Drosophila melanogaster: one gene and its partner. The gene in region 1 interacts genetically with each later gene. Each region holds a gene or a part of one and is shown in the gene's direction. Other genes may lie near its edges.

Evidence for each region.
Region 2: of Pcl (region 1) and Abd-B, changing one enhances a phenotype caused by changing the other (phenotypic enhancement), as found in Drosophila melanogaster (2 studies listed by BioGRID).

What each region holds. Positions count from the first base shown.
Region 1 is NT_033778.4:18,133,772-18,140,490, forward strand, and holds Pcl (polycomblike), read left to right. Parts: upstream 1-1,654; 5' UTR 1,655-2,152; coding exon 2,153-3,640; intron 3,641-3,699; coding exon 3,700-3,872; intron 3,873-3,927; coding exon 3,928-5,002; intron 5,003-5,069; coding exon 5,070-5,465; 3' UTR 5,466-6,219; downstream 6,220-6,719. Other genes in the region: Hsf (heat shock factor), read right to left, coding at 100-309. UniProt on the Drosophila melanogaster protein: Polycomb group (PcG) protein.
Region 2 is NT_033777.3:16,928,230-16,936,243, reverse strand, and holds the start of Abd-B (abdominal B), read left to right. Parts: upstream 1-2,001; 5' UTR 2,002-3,212; coding exon 3,213-3,873; intron 3,874-4,630; coding exon 4,631-4,842; intron 4,843-4,926; coding exon 4,927-5,128; intron 5,129-6,391; coding exon 6,392-6,606; intron 6,607-6,663; coding exon 6,664-6,855; coding exon of another isoform or gene 6,856-7,014; 3' UTR 7,015-8,014. UniProt on the Drosophila melanogaster protein: Sequence-specific transcription factor which is part of a developmental regulatory system that provides cells with specific positional identities on the anterior-posterior axis.

The sequences.
Region 1 (6,719 bases):
GCATGGCCAAGTCATTGTTGTTGCCATGCTGATTAGCGGTATGTGGTGGGAGGGGAGTCCCTGGAAAGGTAAATAAACAATATGGCGGCGTAGGCTTACCTTGGTCCAGCAAATCAAGCGATTGGTATCGGCATCGTCCACCAGGCGCCACAATTTGGCCAAAAAGGCCGGCACCCCGCTTCCGATGGCCGCGGCGTCTCCGTAAGAGTGCATTCTCCTGGAAGGCAGCTGCTCCTCCTCGTCTTCTTCCTCTTCCTCCGATTCGTGCTTGAACTGCACGGCTTTAGCGGATGAACGCGACCTGGACATAAAGTGACCAGCAGCCTGGAAAGGAGTACTACTCAATGAATTCACTGCACACCAACACCAACACAAACGCTTTTTTTCCAGTTTACAGTTCACTTTTCCACGCCGCTGTATGTGTGTGTGTTTAAGTGTGTGTATGGGTGCGGGAATCAGTGTGCGTGTCCAGGTACACCATACATATGTAAAATGTACATATGGGTACAATTTTGATGTGAAAGTTGCAGCTCTGATCGAATCGAATGTTTTCGGTTGCAGCCAAGTGCGTCATTCGAGCCACCAACTTGCACAAATGGAGCTCCAGTTCTTCTTCTCCTGCTCAACCTACTTACCTTAACAATTTTGCAGCTCACAAACCTTTCGCGAAGTGAAAAACTCGCGTTTTACTTGTTTAGTTTAGTTATTACACTTCACTTTCTTGGCGTACCGCTTTTGTTTTACACAGTTCTTCGGTTTTTAAGTGCTTTTTCGCGTTTTATTCACAAGTGAAAATTTAATGAAACCTCCGTCAAGTAAAATTGCTTCTGTTCGCAGCGTGACCAATTTGGTAAAAACCTATCGAACTAAAGTTCGCTGCTATATATACCATTGCTAGCTGTCTGCTTGGTCCTCTGGTTTTTATCTAGTATTTTCTGGCGCGCAACTTCGTATTCATATAATTGACCCCAATTACTAGATGATCATTATACTAAAAACTTATCAAATTCTGTTATTTGTTTTTAAAGCTAGTATTGATATGTGTACCCATAACATTAATTGATAGGCAACTGTCGATTTTAATACGGCAGACCAAAGGATAGGGATTTTAGTATTTGGTATTTTCTATTTGATATCTTTAAGATAATTATGAGTTAAAATTAAAATTAGTTGGTTTGATTTTAGATAAGTTGTACATAAAAGCATACAAAGGGCATACTTACTAAAAAAATTAACATTCATTTTGAAATTTCTATAGGATTTACTTTGACAATCAAAAAGTTTTACCTTAATATAAATGTTAGTTTTATTTTTTTTAATTTGATTTAATAATTGTCACTCTACATTTAAAATGTAAATTATGTATGATATTAACGTTTTTGAATCTTTAGGAAATATTTAAATGTATTTTCTAGTATTTTCCAGGACGAGACCGCTGAGTCTTTGCCGGCACAGTGGGGATAATTAAGTAAATTTATGGTATATTTTATACGTTTCGATATATTTAAAAATATAAAAATGTAAAATTGTGGTGACAAATTTCCAATATTTCTTTATTTATTTTAATCAAGTTAATTTTATTACCATAACATACATAAGTTGTGGTAGATTTATATATGAAAATGTAACGAAAAGAACAATTGTTGGATGCGGTCACACTGGTGGGCATATGTTGAAAAATGGCTGACACAAATTAATTTTCAAGTGATTTGTTTTGTGCATTTTCGCTGGTGTTAAAGATGAACTTGGGACAACGACGTTCAAAGCCGATAGCCGAATCAATAAGAGCAAAATGCTAATTTAATGCACGATTCGAAACACACTTAAAGGTGGGTAAATCGGCAACCGAAACTAGAAGTGCCTGTGGTGCGTGTGGAAAAGTACGAATGAGGAAGACACAGAGAATACAAAAGGGCCCGCTCTCCAGTCCGTATGTGTAGCAAAAGTGTGCATGTATGTGTCGGCGGGCAACAACAAATTCGACGAAAAAGGCGCCAGATTAATGAGCTCGTGTTAATCAGCGGGAAACAATCGCAAAATCAATGAAAAAACGGGCCGCGAAAAGCCGGCAAATCGAACTGAAGATCCATATTTTTCACAAAAGACTGCGCACTGGAAAAATCAACGCATCTAGCACGCACACACAGCCGCAATGATGAACAACCATTTTCACTTGCAACACGATCATCCACCGCAGAACGTGGCACATCCGTTCATGCAACAGCCGAGTACCGCTGTCCCATCAGCTCCTCCGGCCACCTACGGCTACTTAGCACAGCCAGCTGGCCAGCAGCCGCAGTGGATGACGACCACCTACCAGATCCTGCCGCCCAGCGTAGGACCTGCCACGGTGGCCAAGCGATACTATGCCACCACTGGGCCGCAGACCACGCATCCCACACATCCCAGCACCATCCAGATCACGAACAGTTTCGCTCAGCAATCAACGCCACCGAAGCAACAGGCGGCAACAAGCTGCAGCCCATTCAAGGCCAACAACATACGAATCATCTCGACGGCGCCAAGTGTATACAGTCTGAATAAGCCGCCACAGGAAGCGCACTCCACATATGCTCCCGTTCAGTCGTACTACTTGCCCAGTGGCGGTGGCCAAACTGCGGGACAAATCAATCTACTGGCGGCCAGCGGAACTGGCAAGCAACTGCAGCCGCCGCCGCTGGTGCCTGTGACCAATTCCACCTCACCGCCCTCCACCGTCGTGTTAGACCGCATAAACATTTGCATCAATAACCACTATACGGAGACGCCCACTTCGCTAAGTTCATCGCTTACCACGGCCCAACAACCTTCGCCCATCATACCGGCCATCCAGCACAAGGCCATCCTGCCCCTCATCGACAGCAGCACGGCGGATAGCAGCAGCTGCAGCAGCAGTTCTGTATCCAGCAGCAGTTATAGTGGTACCGCGACCACCTCAGCAGCAGTTGTGATTGTGGATGAGCCGGATTCTACGACCACAACGCCACAGACACCGCCAACTACGCCGGAGGCCATGAGTTCACCCGGTAAAAGTTCGCCCTCGCCTCCGCTACTAGCCACGCAATCGCTGCTCAAAGGCGTCAACTCAATGAAGCCAAGCTTCAAGACCGTCGAAGCAGCACCGCCAACGCCGCCAACACCTCCATCACCACCACCACCGCCGCCGGCACCACCAGTTGCCGCTCCCTCGCCAGCGGTCACGTATGCGCTTCAGGAGGACGTCTTCATCAAATGCAACGATGGCAGATTTTACCTGGGCACCATTATTGACCAGACAAGCGATCAATATCTTATCCGCTTTGATGACCAGTCGGAGCAATGGTGTGAACCGGATAAGCTGCGCAAGCTAGGTGGCGGTAGCTCGATTACCGCTGGCGGAGGCGGTGCCTCTACCACGGAATCCACGAATACCTCCCCCAGTGGACCCATGTGCGTGGCCTGCAAGCGATCGGATATCGAAGATGTGGTCGAAATTTGCGAGCGCTGCGGACGTGGCTACCATCGTGGTTGCACCGTTGAAATTGTTACTGGCAGTGGAATTTGGAGTTGCAAACGCTGCGCTAAACCCATGAAAATGCAACAGCCTGTCAGCCATAAGATCACAAAACCAGCGGGAATTTGTCGCCAGTTGCCCTACCATGTGAGTATTCTACGAACCCAAGCCAGCGGATTAGATTCTTAATCCGGTTTTACCCACAGGCGGATAAGCTCAGCTGGGATGAGAAGCATCGGGTCAACGAAGAGCAGATCTACTGCTACTGCGGCAAACCGGGAAAATTCGATCACAATATGCTGCAGTGCTGCAAATGTCGGAACTGGTTCCACACCCAATGCATGCAGAACTTCAAGAAGAAGCTGCTGCGCGGCGATATGTACGTATTCAATTGCTTTACTGTGATCTAAACTGAAATGAATCTCATTGTCTAGGTTCTTTGTTTTCTGCTGCACGGTCTGCAACAATGGCATAGAATTCGTTCGTCGTATGCAAATCGAATGGGTGGATGTGCTCCACATTGCACTATACAATCTGCGAAAGCATCAGCACCAGAAGTACCATCACCTGCTAAATGACATTTGGCCCTTCATACTCGAGCAGCGCCACCAGCTGCCTATCTGCGAGAAGTGGCGCACACTGCCCGAAACGGCACTGATGGAGCGTCTCAAGCAAACCCTTAAGGATTACTCTGACAGATTTGTTTGCGGCAGGGAGTTTAAAAGGGCTCCGGCCTTCTATGCACTGAGACACAGTGGCCCGCCACACATTCCCAAGGTATTCCTTGAGCCCCACGAGGAGCTGTCCGATGAGCTGCTCGAAAAAAGATTTAAACTAATGCTCATGCCCGAGGAGCCTGATGAAGGTGCCAACGAGCTTCCGAAAAGAGTTCCCAAAGATGTGTATGAGTTTAATACAGATGAAGATGACCCAGTCGAGACCAGCGAGGACGAAATACCCATCAAACAGATTATTGAGAAGGCCAAAAAGCAGGCCGCTCAGAAGGCCGATAAGCATGATGAGTTGCCACTGAAGCCGGACCTCGCCGACGACAATGCCAACGATGGCGATCCCGGCAAACTACCAGCTCCCATTCCACCTCTGCTGGACGCAAACAGCAGTCGGAAGCGCAAGGCTTTCCGATTGTCCAAACGCTATGACAACAGCCGCAATCACTGTGATCTATCATCCGACGAGAATTCAAGCAGCAGTCGGGGAACCAGTTCGTTGGACCTCATCATACCACCGCCGGTCAACTTTTTGGGACGCAACAATCCATTCCTTATGGCCACTCCCAAAAAGGCGTCGCAGGGACGAAGTATTTCTGTGGGAACTGGAGTCGGAGTAAATGGCATCATAAACAGCATTTTCAAGCTTAAGGGCACCTCCAAGGAGCAGCCGCGCATGGTGCGCACCATCAAGCGAAGACTGAGTGCCAAAGACATTACGATAGGGCCCAATCAGGAAGTGCGCAGACGACGCACTCGCCGCCTGACCACGGCCATTGAGGTAAGAGTTTAACTAACAACAATGTAACTATAATGTTTGAGATGTTTTTTTCGTTTCCACTTAATAGGTCATCAGCACCACCACCATCAATCCCATACCCAGCCACTACCTTCCTATCTATGCCAAAGATCTGCAGCCACCCGCGCCGCCAATGGGAAAGCCGACACATGGGCGCCTGTTGCGCCAGCGACCACAGAAGCAGTCACCCAGCCAAAGCCGCCGGAACTCCACCAGCTCGACGGCAACCAGCAGCAGCAGCAACGGCATTGGAGCCCCAGGACATTCCATGCTGGACTTGAAGCAGTCGGTGAACAAGTACTTTGGTGGCGCTATGAATCGCATAGATGCTGGTGAGCCCTTTGCCATTCGGGCCAAGCGGCGCATGGGAAATGGACAGGTCCAGTACCTGGTGGAGTGGGGCGGAGATACAGCGACAACGGCGATTGGATTGCTTGGAAATTGAACCCTTTGGCATACCGACTCATTATGAATTTTATATTCTTCATTTCCATTATCATTTCTTTTCGTTATTATGTATTAATGAACGCTGCCAACTACGGGCCTCTTTATTTGTTAATGTTTAAAAGTTTATTACCAACCCACTGCCAAAATAGAAAAAGATTGTTCAAAATATTGGTTCAGCATTAAAGCGATAAAATGTTAAATTGTAAAAAAAAAAAACGAAAAAAAAGCAAAAAGCAACTGAATACAGGTTATAATTGTGCAATGGCAGTTAAGTGTTGCAGCAGAACATAAATAAGTTTTCACAAAATTGGTAAAAGTATTACAAGATTAATCTGGAAGCCTATGTAAAATTCGCTGATGAATGAAAACGTATTAAATAATGAGAACAATTCAGTTAAGTTCAGTACTGTACTTTAGCGATACGCCACGCCCATGTATGTTTTTGAAAAATATACCTTCAAATGGGAAAACTCACAAATCATGTCATGCATACAAAAAAAAAACAATTGATATACATACATACACACAAATTTAATAAAATGTAGGACTAGTTCAATAATTTTCACCCATAGTCTAGGCAAAACTACACAATAATGAATTAAGCCAGTACGTTTTATGTTTAACTATTAAATGCTACGAAAAATCAAAATTGAGTTGAAAGCAAACTAATTCTCAAGCCAAGTAAATGTTTGGCCAAACCAGATCGAAATATGTTTAATGAAGTATATAATGCCCAAATAAATGTTTCCGAAATGTCAAATCTTTTAAGATTTTACTCAGGACACGCCAGTAGGCGCCCAAAGTGACACTTCGCTTTGAAGCTTGTCAGGCACCGACGCCTCACACCGCTTCATTAGGTACTCGATCGCCAGATAGGGCACATGCACCAGACGTTCAAAACGGGAAAAAGAAAAAAAAAATTATCCTCAGCCATCCTTGAATGTGGTCTATTTCGTAAAAACAAAAACACAAAAAAAAAACTTAAAAAATTCTTCAATCTCTGTAGTGCCGATTTCCATCGAGAACGAAAAGAAGTACTCAAGCACTTCTCGGAGTGTCGACTTGCAGCCTCATCGCTTTATTCTCTGATTTAGGTAAGTTCGCACAGTGGGGAATTACAAAGATGGGATTCGGTTTTCGGAGCATACGCTAATATCTGTGCAGTGCCAAAAAATCATTTTCTAAAAGTCTACGCTCATTTTTAAAAGAAAAAAAAACTGCATTCCTAATTTTGGATTGTGTTTTATGAGAC
Region 2 (8,014 bases), on another chromosome or scaffold:
TAGGCTCTTCTTACTTTTTTCCTTACAGGCCGGAGAAAATAGCCAGCGATGATGAGTGGCGCCTGGTTACAGGCGGTCCTTATTGATGGCCCTTGCTGTGGTTTACTTACCAAGTTTCTGCATCTTTTTTTTTTTGCAGAACGCGTCACTGGAAGTGAGCAAACCGGTGGAGTAGATCCATCCCCATTCAGCAGCGGTGCAGACCCACCAAGCACCACCCCAGCAACAAATCTCAGCGGTGGCGTCCGGCCAAAACCACCTCGTTGCGCCGACAGCGGCGAGCATTTCTCCCTCCAGCGTCAGTTCCCATCCCACAGGTAAGCTAAAATTATAATTAGTCCGGTTTAAGCCAGATATGTATTTAAATATGTAATATTAAGGCGTTAAAATGCTACTAATAATTATAAAATGCTATTGTGCAGAGAGTTTATCCCTTTAAAATAATTCTGCGTGTTAGCAGAGTGGTTCAATAGGAAAAATGTCAATCATACTTTATTTCTATTTATAAATAAAAAAGTTGAATAATAATTTCAATCGAAGAAGTTATTTTTGGAAATAGATTGCGGCAGTTAATTACAAGTTTTGTATTATTATAAGTAGAATTCTTGAAGTTTTTTTGGGGTTTACTTGATCAACTTTGTTATGTAAGCAGTTGGACTCTTCAACTAAATGCGTGATGTGAAAAATTAAAAATGAATGTTCTGATTTCACATAAGAAATAATATTATTCGTCTCCAGTCGCGATGACTTCTGACATTTTCTTAAGCCCCTGCTCAAATGTATTATTGTAATTGCTAAGTATGGATTTTTATGCGATTGTACATACATTTTGTTGTCAAACGGGTTGAGAGTTGTTCTCATCGCATCCTTTTTACGATTTGTTAACATTTCCTTGGCCTCGACTGCGTGCCTTTTGCTTTTCTTCCAATGGCAATTGCCATAAAATTCCCATAATTGTCCATTGCAGCGTAAAATTTGGCAACTGCCTTTGGAAGTGAGACAAGGAGGGGAATCTGTAGAAGAGCCAAAAGGGAGAAAGGATGTTGAGATAGGGGTGAAAAGAGACCCGGGGTTTCCTAACAATTGGGCTGTCATAATTTGCTGACTGAACTGGCGCACGCATGTATTTGTTTAACTAATTAGCATTAATTAGTCACTGCGCTTGACGACTCGTATAATTGGTCGCGATCCATGGTCTTTATGCAGTGAGTTTTTCTGTATGTTGCTGCTGTTGTGGTAATCGATAAAAAGCGCCAACAACAAGCCAACTAACTACACACAATGTGGTGCCATCTACCACGCCTCCCCGCCCCCATTCCATCGAAATCTCGGACATAGATGGCGCTGTGGTGCGCGCGTGTTAAGTATTCAAATCAGCCCCCAGAATCGGGCAGTAAGAGCGGGCGGTGAGTCTGAGAGCGTTTTTTGTTCGTTGAAGAGCGGATGCCTTCACACGTACACTGTGCGTGTGTGTTTCGCCCTCGATGACCCCCTGTGACTTGGAGCACCTGCTGAGCTCAGCGAATTCCAGAGCCAGTCCCAGTCGAAGTGCGATACCATCTTTACCTCATTGAAGGCGCTAGTTGAAACAGTGCTATTTCCCCCAGCAACATCCAAAACTCTCTTCGGCTCCCCCCACTTACACACGCACACTCGCTGACAGTCTGGGATCCACACAGACGCTGTATACAGTGTACGTGTGCATAACGCGCCACAAGAGAGCCGCACCAACTGCCATCAACATAACATCAACCACCACCACCATCAATCTGAGTGCTTGTGCAACATGCGCATGTCCGCGCTCTCTTCCAAGTCACACGGACGGGGAGGCACACACACACACACACACACACACACACACACACACACTGGAGCGGGCTGGCGCCGCTGCGCTTAGAGTTTGTGTTCGTGTGCTGGTTCTGGTTCTGGTCTTGGTCTTGTGTTGTCGGTGTGCCGTGCCAGCGATGTGGATATGTTGTCGCCGTGCGCGTTGCTGCCGTCAGTGTAGATTTGTGCTTCGCTCTGTTCGGTTGGAAGGCGCGCGGGCGTCCAGCAGCAACAACAGCAACTACAACAACAGCCGAGGCAAGCGGCCCTGCAACTTCGTCGAGGACTGGGACTTGAACGATTTCGTACTCGCCGTCCATTCACATTCACATTCGACTGGGAGTGTTTCGTTCGAACGGTTCGAAAAATACAAGTTGAACATTTTCGAAAAATTTAACTGAAAGAAGAAACGTTTTTGGAGTCGTATAAAAAATTAAATCAAAAAACAAAAAACACAATCAAAACATCGTGTCGCCGGCGTTGTGAGGAGAAATAATAACATTTTTGTTAACTGTTGCAAACATTGCCTTTAATTGTTTGTTTTGGTCGTAAAATCAAATTTTATGACCAGCAACATAAAAAGCGAACGCCAGCAGCAGCAACAACAACGACTGCAGGCCCCACAAATAATAAACTATTTATGATAATTATAAAAGAGAGAAGAAAATCAAAAACAAACGCCAACCGAAAAAAAAAGAAAAGTGAAAAGAAAACATTAACTGACAAAGGAAAAATTGGAAAAGTTTTGGAAAATTGGATTGACCGAATGAAAACTGAAAAAAGCCAATTTGAAAATACTGCGTGAGTTGCTGACGACCGCAAGCACCCTGTGAAATTCAAGCTGATTCGATCCCCTGTGCAACAACAAAGTTACTCTCTTCGCCCGCTCTTTAGGCAGTGTGCGTGTGTGAGTAAGTCGGCGTGTGCGTGTGACCGCTGACGGACGTTTGTGTGCGTGTGCGGTACGCAAATAAAAGGGGCAAAACTCGAGTAAAGGTGCTCTGAATATTAAAAATAAAAATTATTAAGTCGCGAAAAAAATATAAAGAGACTTAAACAATTAGAAAGGCGTCACTCAGAGGAGTGAGAAAAAAAAGACAGAGAAAGGTCGGTGGGTCGAGGCGATCGACCCCACTGCACCGCCTTTATCCTCGCCGCCGCAGTTCGAGTGCAACGCGTCCAAGATAACCGTAAATATTCCACCCCTCCCCCAAACCCCAACCATCCCGCTGGCGTGCGCTCTCTACGACCCCCACGATGTCTCGGCAGTCGGGTCGCACGCCGCTGCCGGGGCGTGGTGGGGGCATCACACACACACCCACACCCACGTACCCACCGCCCCGCACCCGCATCCGCATCCCCAGGCGCATCCCTCCCTGCCCGTCATGCAGCAGCACCATCTGCAGCAGCAGCAACAGCAGCAGCAGCAGCAGGAGCAGCAGCATCTGCAGGAGCAGCAGCAGCATCTGCAGCAACTGCATCACCATGCGCACCACCACCTGCCTCAGCCTCTCCACACCACCAGCCATCACCACAGCGCGCATCCCCACCTGCAGCAGCAGCAACAGCAGCAGCAACATGCAGTCGTCGCCTCCTCACCCTCCTCGGTGCTCCAGCAGCAGCAACAGCAGTCAACTCCCACCACACATTCCACGCCCACGCATGCGGTTATGTACGAGGATCCTCCGCCTGTGCCACTTGTCGCCGTACAGCAGCAACACCTCCCCGCTCCGCAGCAGCAGCAGCAACTTCAACAGCAGCAGCAACAGCAGCAACAACAGCTGGCGACAACACCGGTGGCCGGCGCCCTCAGTCCTGCCCAAACACCCACTGGACCCTCCGCCCAACAACAGCAACATCTCACATCGCCCCACCACCAGCAACTGCCGCAGCAACAAACCCCGAACAGTGTCGCCAGCGGCGCCTCCTCGAATCTCCAGCAGCAGCAGCAACAGCAGAATGCTGCAGTTGCTCCTGGCCAGACGCAGATCGTTGCGCCGACCACGGCGAGTGTTTCTCCCTCCAGTGTTAGTTCTCAGAAGGAAGGTGAGGTCCCAGAAATATAACTTTCCTTGGGGTTGAAAACCAGCGGATTTCTTATTGGAACTCCATTGGTTATGGGCTTTCAAAGATCGTTGGGAAATATATTTTTTGAAATTTTCTACATCTGAACTGGAAAACTCTCGAAATAAATTGGGGACGTTAAATTGGGAACGGGGTCGTTCCACTTGTTTTTTTTTCCCCCCAGTTGCAATAACGTTTCAGTTGTGCTGATTGCAGCACGTTTTTCAAGGCTGATAAGGCTTTTCTTTAACTCTCCCAGGAATCGTCACGCATTTAATTTATTTACTCAAAATATTTGCGTCTGTTTTATCATTATAGACTATATAATTGCAGGGTGGTAACAACTTTAATTTTGTAAGGAAATTAAAAATTTTTAAAAATATTGTTTGTGAGTGTACTGAAGTTCTTCAAAACTGCATTGGTTTTTTTTTAAAGAGTTTACACAAAAAAAAAAATTAAACGATGATTTGAAACGTAATCGTTATGGTAACCATTTTATTACCTTAAGTGTTGACACGTGTTAAATATACAGATTTATATATAGACGAGGTGTGAATGCACCCACATCCATGACATCGACAAACAATCTAAGGGTTATAGGCACAAATGCCACGCCAAGTGATAAAATGCCAAATGATCAAGGAGGTCGATTTGATCATAGACAGTCGTTAAAATTAGACTTACCAGCCCTAGTGCCAATATTAACAGCAGCAAATCTGCGCTTATCGTTTACTTTCAGACATCAATATGTCCATACAATTAGCGCCACTGCATATACCCGCCATCCGGGCCGGTCCGGGATTCGAGACGGACACCTCGGCGGCGGTCAAGCGGCACACGGCACACTGGGCCTACAACGACGAGGGATTCAATCAGCATTACGGCTCCGGGTACTACGACCGCAAGCACATGTTCGCCTATCCTTACCCAGAAACGCAGTTTCCGGTTGGTGTAAGTATGGCCACAGCGCCACCCACGCCTCCACATCAGTTGTAAGCAACTTCGTTCCAACCCGACCTCATTTCTCCCCCGCAGCAGTACTGGGGCCCCAACTACCGCCCCGATCAGACCACCTCTGCCGCAGCGGCGGCGGCCTACATGAACGAAGCGGAGCGCCACGTGAGCGCCGCCGCCCGACAGTCCGTCGAGGGCACATCGACGTCCAGCTATGAGCCGCCCACCTACTCCTCGCCAGGCGGCCTGCGCGGCTATCCCAGCGAGAACTACTCCAGCTCAGGTGAGTCCAGACCGGCCAGAGTCGGCACACTTAAGGGTAACGAGGTTAGGCACACTGGAAATAATTTTGAGCATCTTGCAACTCTAGTTTGGGAGGAGAAATTTTAAAGATTAAAAATTAAAAATTTACTGTTTACAATTCTTAAAATTTTTAATAAAATATTTGGTTATTCATATGAAATTAAATTAAAGTGAAAAATTATACGAATTCAAAATTCTGTTTAAAAAGAGGCGTTCAAATTCCACCTAAATGTTTTTAATTGTAAAATATATATTTATAGACCGTCAAATTTTCCAATGAATCGATAATTATTTGGAAGTGTTTTTTATATGGTGCTATTATTTTTTTTCCTAAAAGCCAAGCCAATTATTTAAACAGCCCTAAAATATTAAGCATCCTACAATATAAAGTTCAAGATTATTTGATTTTCCTATGTGCACTAGACTTTTCGTCGTCGTATCGGTTGAAATAGCAAATTGCGAAACCGTCAAGTTTGTCGTTCAATTAGCGTAGTGCAAAACGGCCCATAAATCGATACTCGCTATTTGGCTAGCGTTACGCCTTTATGTGGGTGCGAAAGTCATTGGGGTTTGCATTCTATGGGGTTGCCTGTTTATGTTCGTGTCTTATCACCAGGTGTTTTTCAACTGCCAGAATTGTATCTGTCGACTAGTCATATTTTCCCAGTAGTATCCATGGTATCCATAGTAAAGACTCGTTATTATGGCGGAATATGTCAGTTAAGTGACCTCGCCAGCCAATTTTACAATTGGAATTCAGGTCTCTTAGGCTCGATAATTAATTTCCAATCTGACCTAACTGTCCTAACTGTTCAATGCTACCAAGACTAATCGAAGAAATCAGATTAGATTCGAAAAGCTCTTCACTCGTGCTGAACTAGCGTTTAAATTAAAATAAATCCAACTTGTCACTTTATTTCAACATTAATTTAATTGCTTCATTTGGTCGGCCAATGAGCGGGAACGAATGTATTCATTTAGTGTTATCCACTCGAGTGTGAATATGGGCCTCATGCCAATTCGGAGCTCCGCTCCCCGTACCGCACCAATTAAGAGGCCATAAATGAGGAATTGAATAATTTCGTATTACGCTTATTGCTAAACAATTTCCGTAATTGCTCTATAAACTTAACGATCTGATATTGCACCGAACACCGAGCAACAAAACCATCGGACCACCCGCACTTGCGGTTTAATGAAGTTAACCATGTAGTTTAACCCCATTACTTGATGATGTTTTCAGGAGCCTCTGGTGGATTATCCGTGGGAGCAGTGGGTCCTTGCACGCCCAATCCCGGACTGCACGAGTGGACCGGTCAGGTGTCCGTCCGGAAAAAGCGCAAGCCGTACTCGAAGTTCCAGACCCTGGAGCTGGAGAAGGAGTTTCTTTTCAATGCGTATGTTTCCAAGCAAAAGCGCTGGGAATTGGCCAGAAATTTGCAGCTGACCGAGCGACAGGTGAGTCCATAAACCTACTGACTTGAACTGAATTCATTAAACAGGCGTTCCTTTCAGGTCAAGATATGGTTCCAGAATCGGCGCATGAAGAACAAGAAGAACTCACAGCGCCAGGCCAATCAGCAGAACAACAACAACAATTCGAGCAGCAACCACAACCACGCGCAGGCGACCCAGCAGCACCACAGCGGCCACCACCTGAACCTTAGCCTGAACATGGGTCACCATGCCGCCAAGATGCACCAGTGACCCTTGGACAACAGCAGCGCTGGCGCCATGGGCTTTGCCACCTACTAGCAGTTAGCCAATCCGAGTTCGGGTAACCCCAGCTCGAATCCCAACCCCATGTCCGATCCGAATCACCATCATCTAATCAAGAACGAGCTGGCCATGGACTTTCCATGCTAGTCCAGCGATTGGAAGGGCGATTCCAGCCAGGCCGAGTTCAGTCGGTTAAATGTACAAAAACCAGAGATCTCTAGCATGCGGGATAGGAATATGTGACCACAATGAGGAGCAAGGATGTGGATGAGCAACTGCCCAGAAGTGCGCAGGCGTCGCTGATGTGTGACCAACCGACGTTGATGCAAATGCAGTTTATTATTAAGTCAGTTCTACGGATCCCAGAGATCCAAGCCCCAACACGATAATGCAGCTTAGTTCGGTAGTTGAATATAGATACGAGTAAGATGAAGAGTAAGCAGCAGCAGTAGCAGATGCACTTGAAATTCGCAACTGTACGAAAATATATGTATGTACGTATTTCTCTCAACGCTCTCATTAGCCTAGGCGAGCACTATGAATTTTCCGAACTATAAATTATGAATATGAATATACTTAAACGTCAGTGAATATAACCCCGCATAAATTATGAATACACGCGTTCGAGTAGTAGATTTTACCATACCTATCCAATTAAGAGCGGCCACAAGGCGGCTGAGTTAGGCTGAGCAGCAGAACACATTTTAGACCCAGATAAATGTTCTTGAAACACAAATTGAAATTGTTTAACAATTTTCGGACCCCTCACAGCTCCGCAAACAAGAAGACACACTCCGCAGTCTAGGATAAATTTTGTCGTATAATGTTCGTCGTGTCGTGTCCTTTGATACCTTCTAAGTTCCTGTATATAAACTAAGACATTGCGCTGATTTCCGGCCGAAGCGAGCACTCGATAACTAAATTACATCAGATATATGTATATGTATATTGCGTACACGCAGAGATATTCAATATTTGTATAATATGAACTCGGATTCGATTTTAGCAAATGGTTAATTGTAAGTTGCAAAAATTTCAATGAGTGTGTGCATGTTTACCCCATAGTTGAAGTCGCTTTCGAATTAAATTAACTCTTAAACCAAGGAAAACACTTAACAAAACTACTCGTAAAGCTAAAGCAACAAAA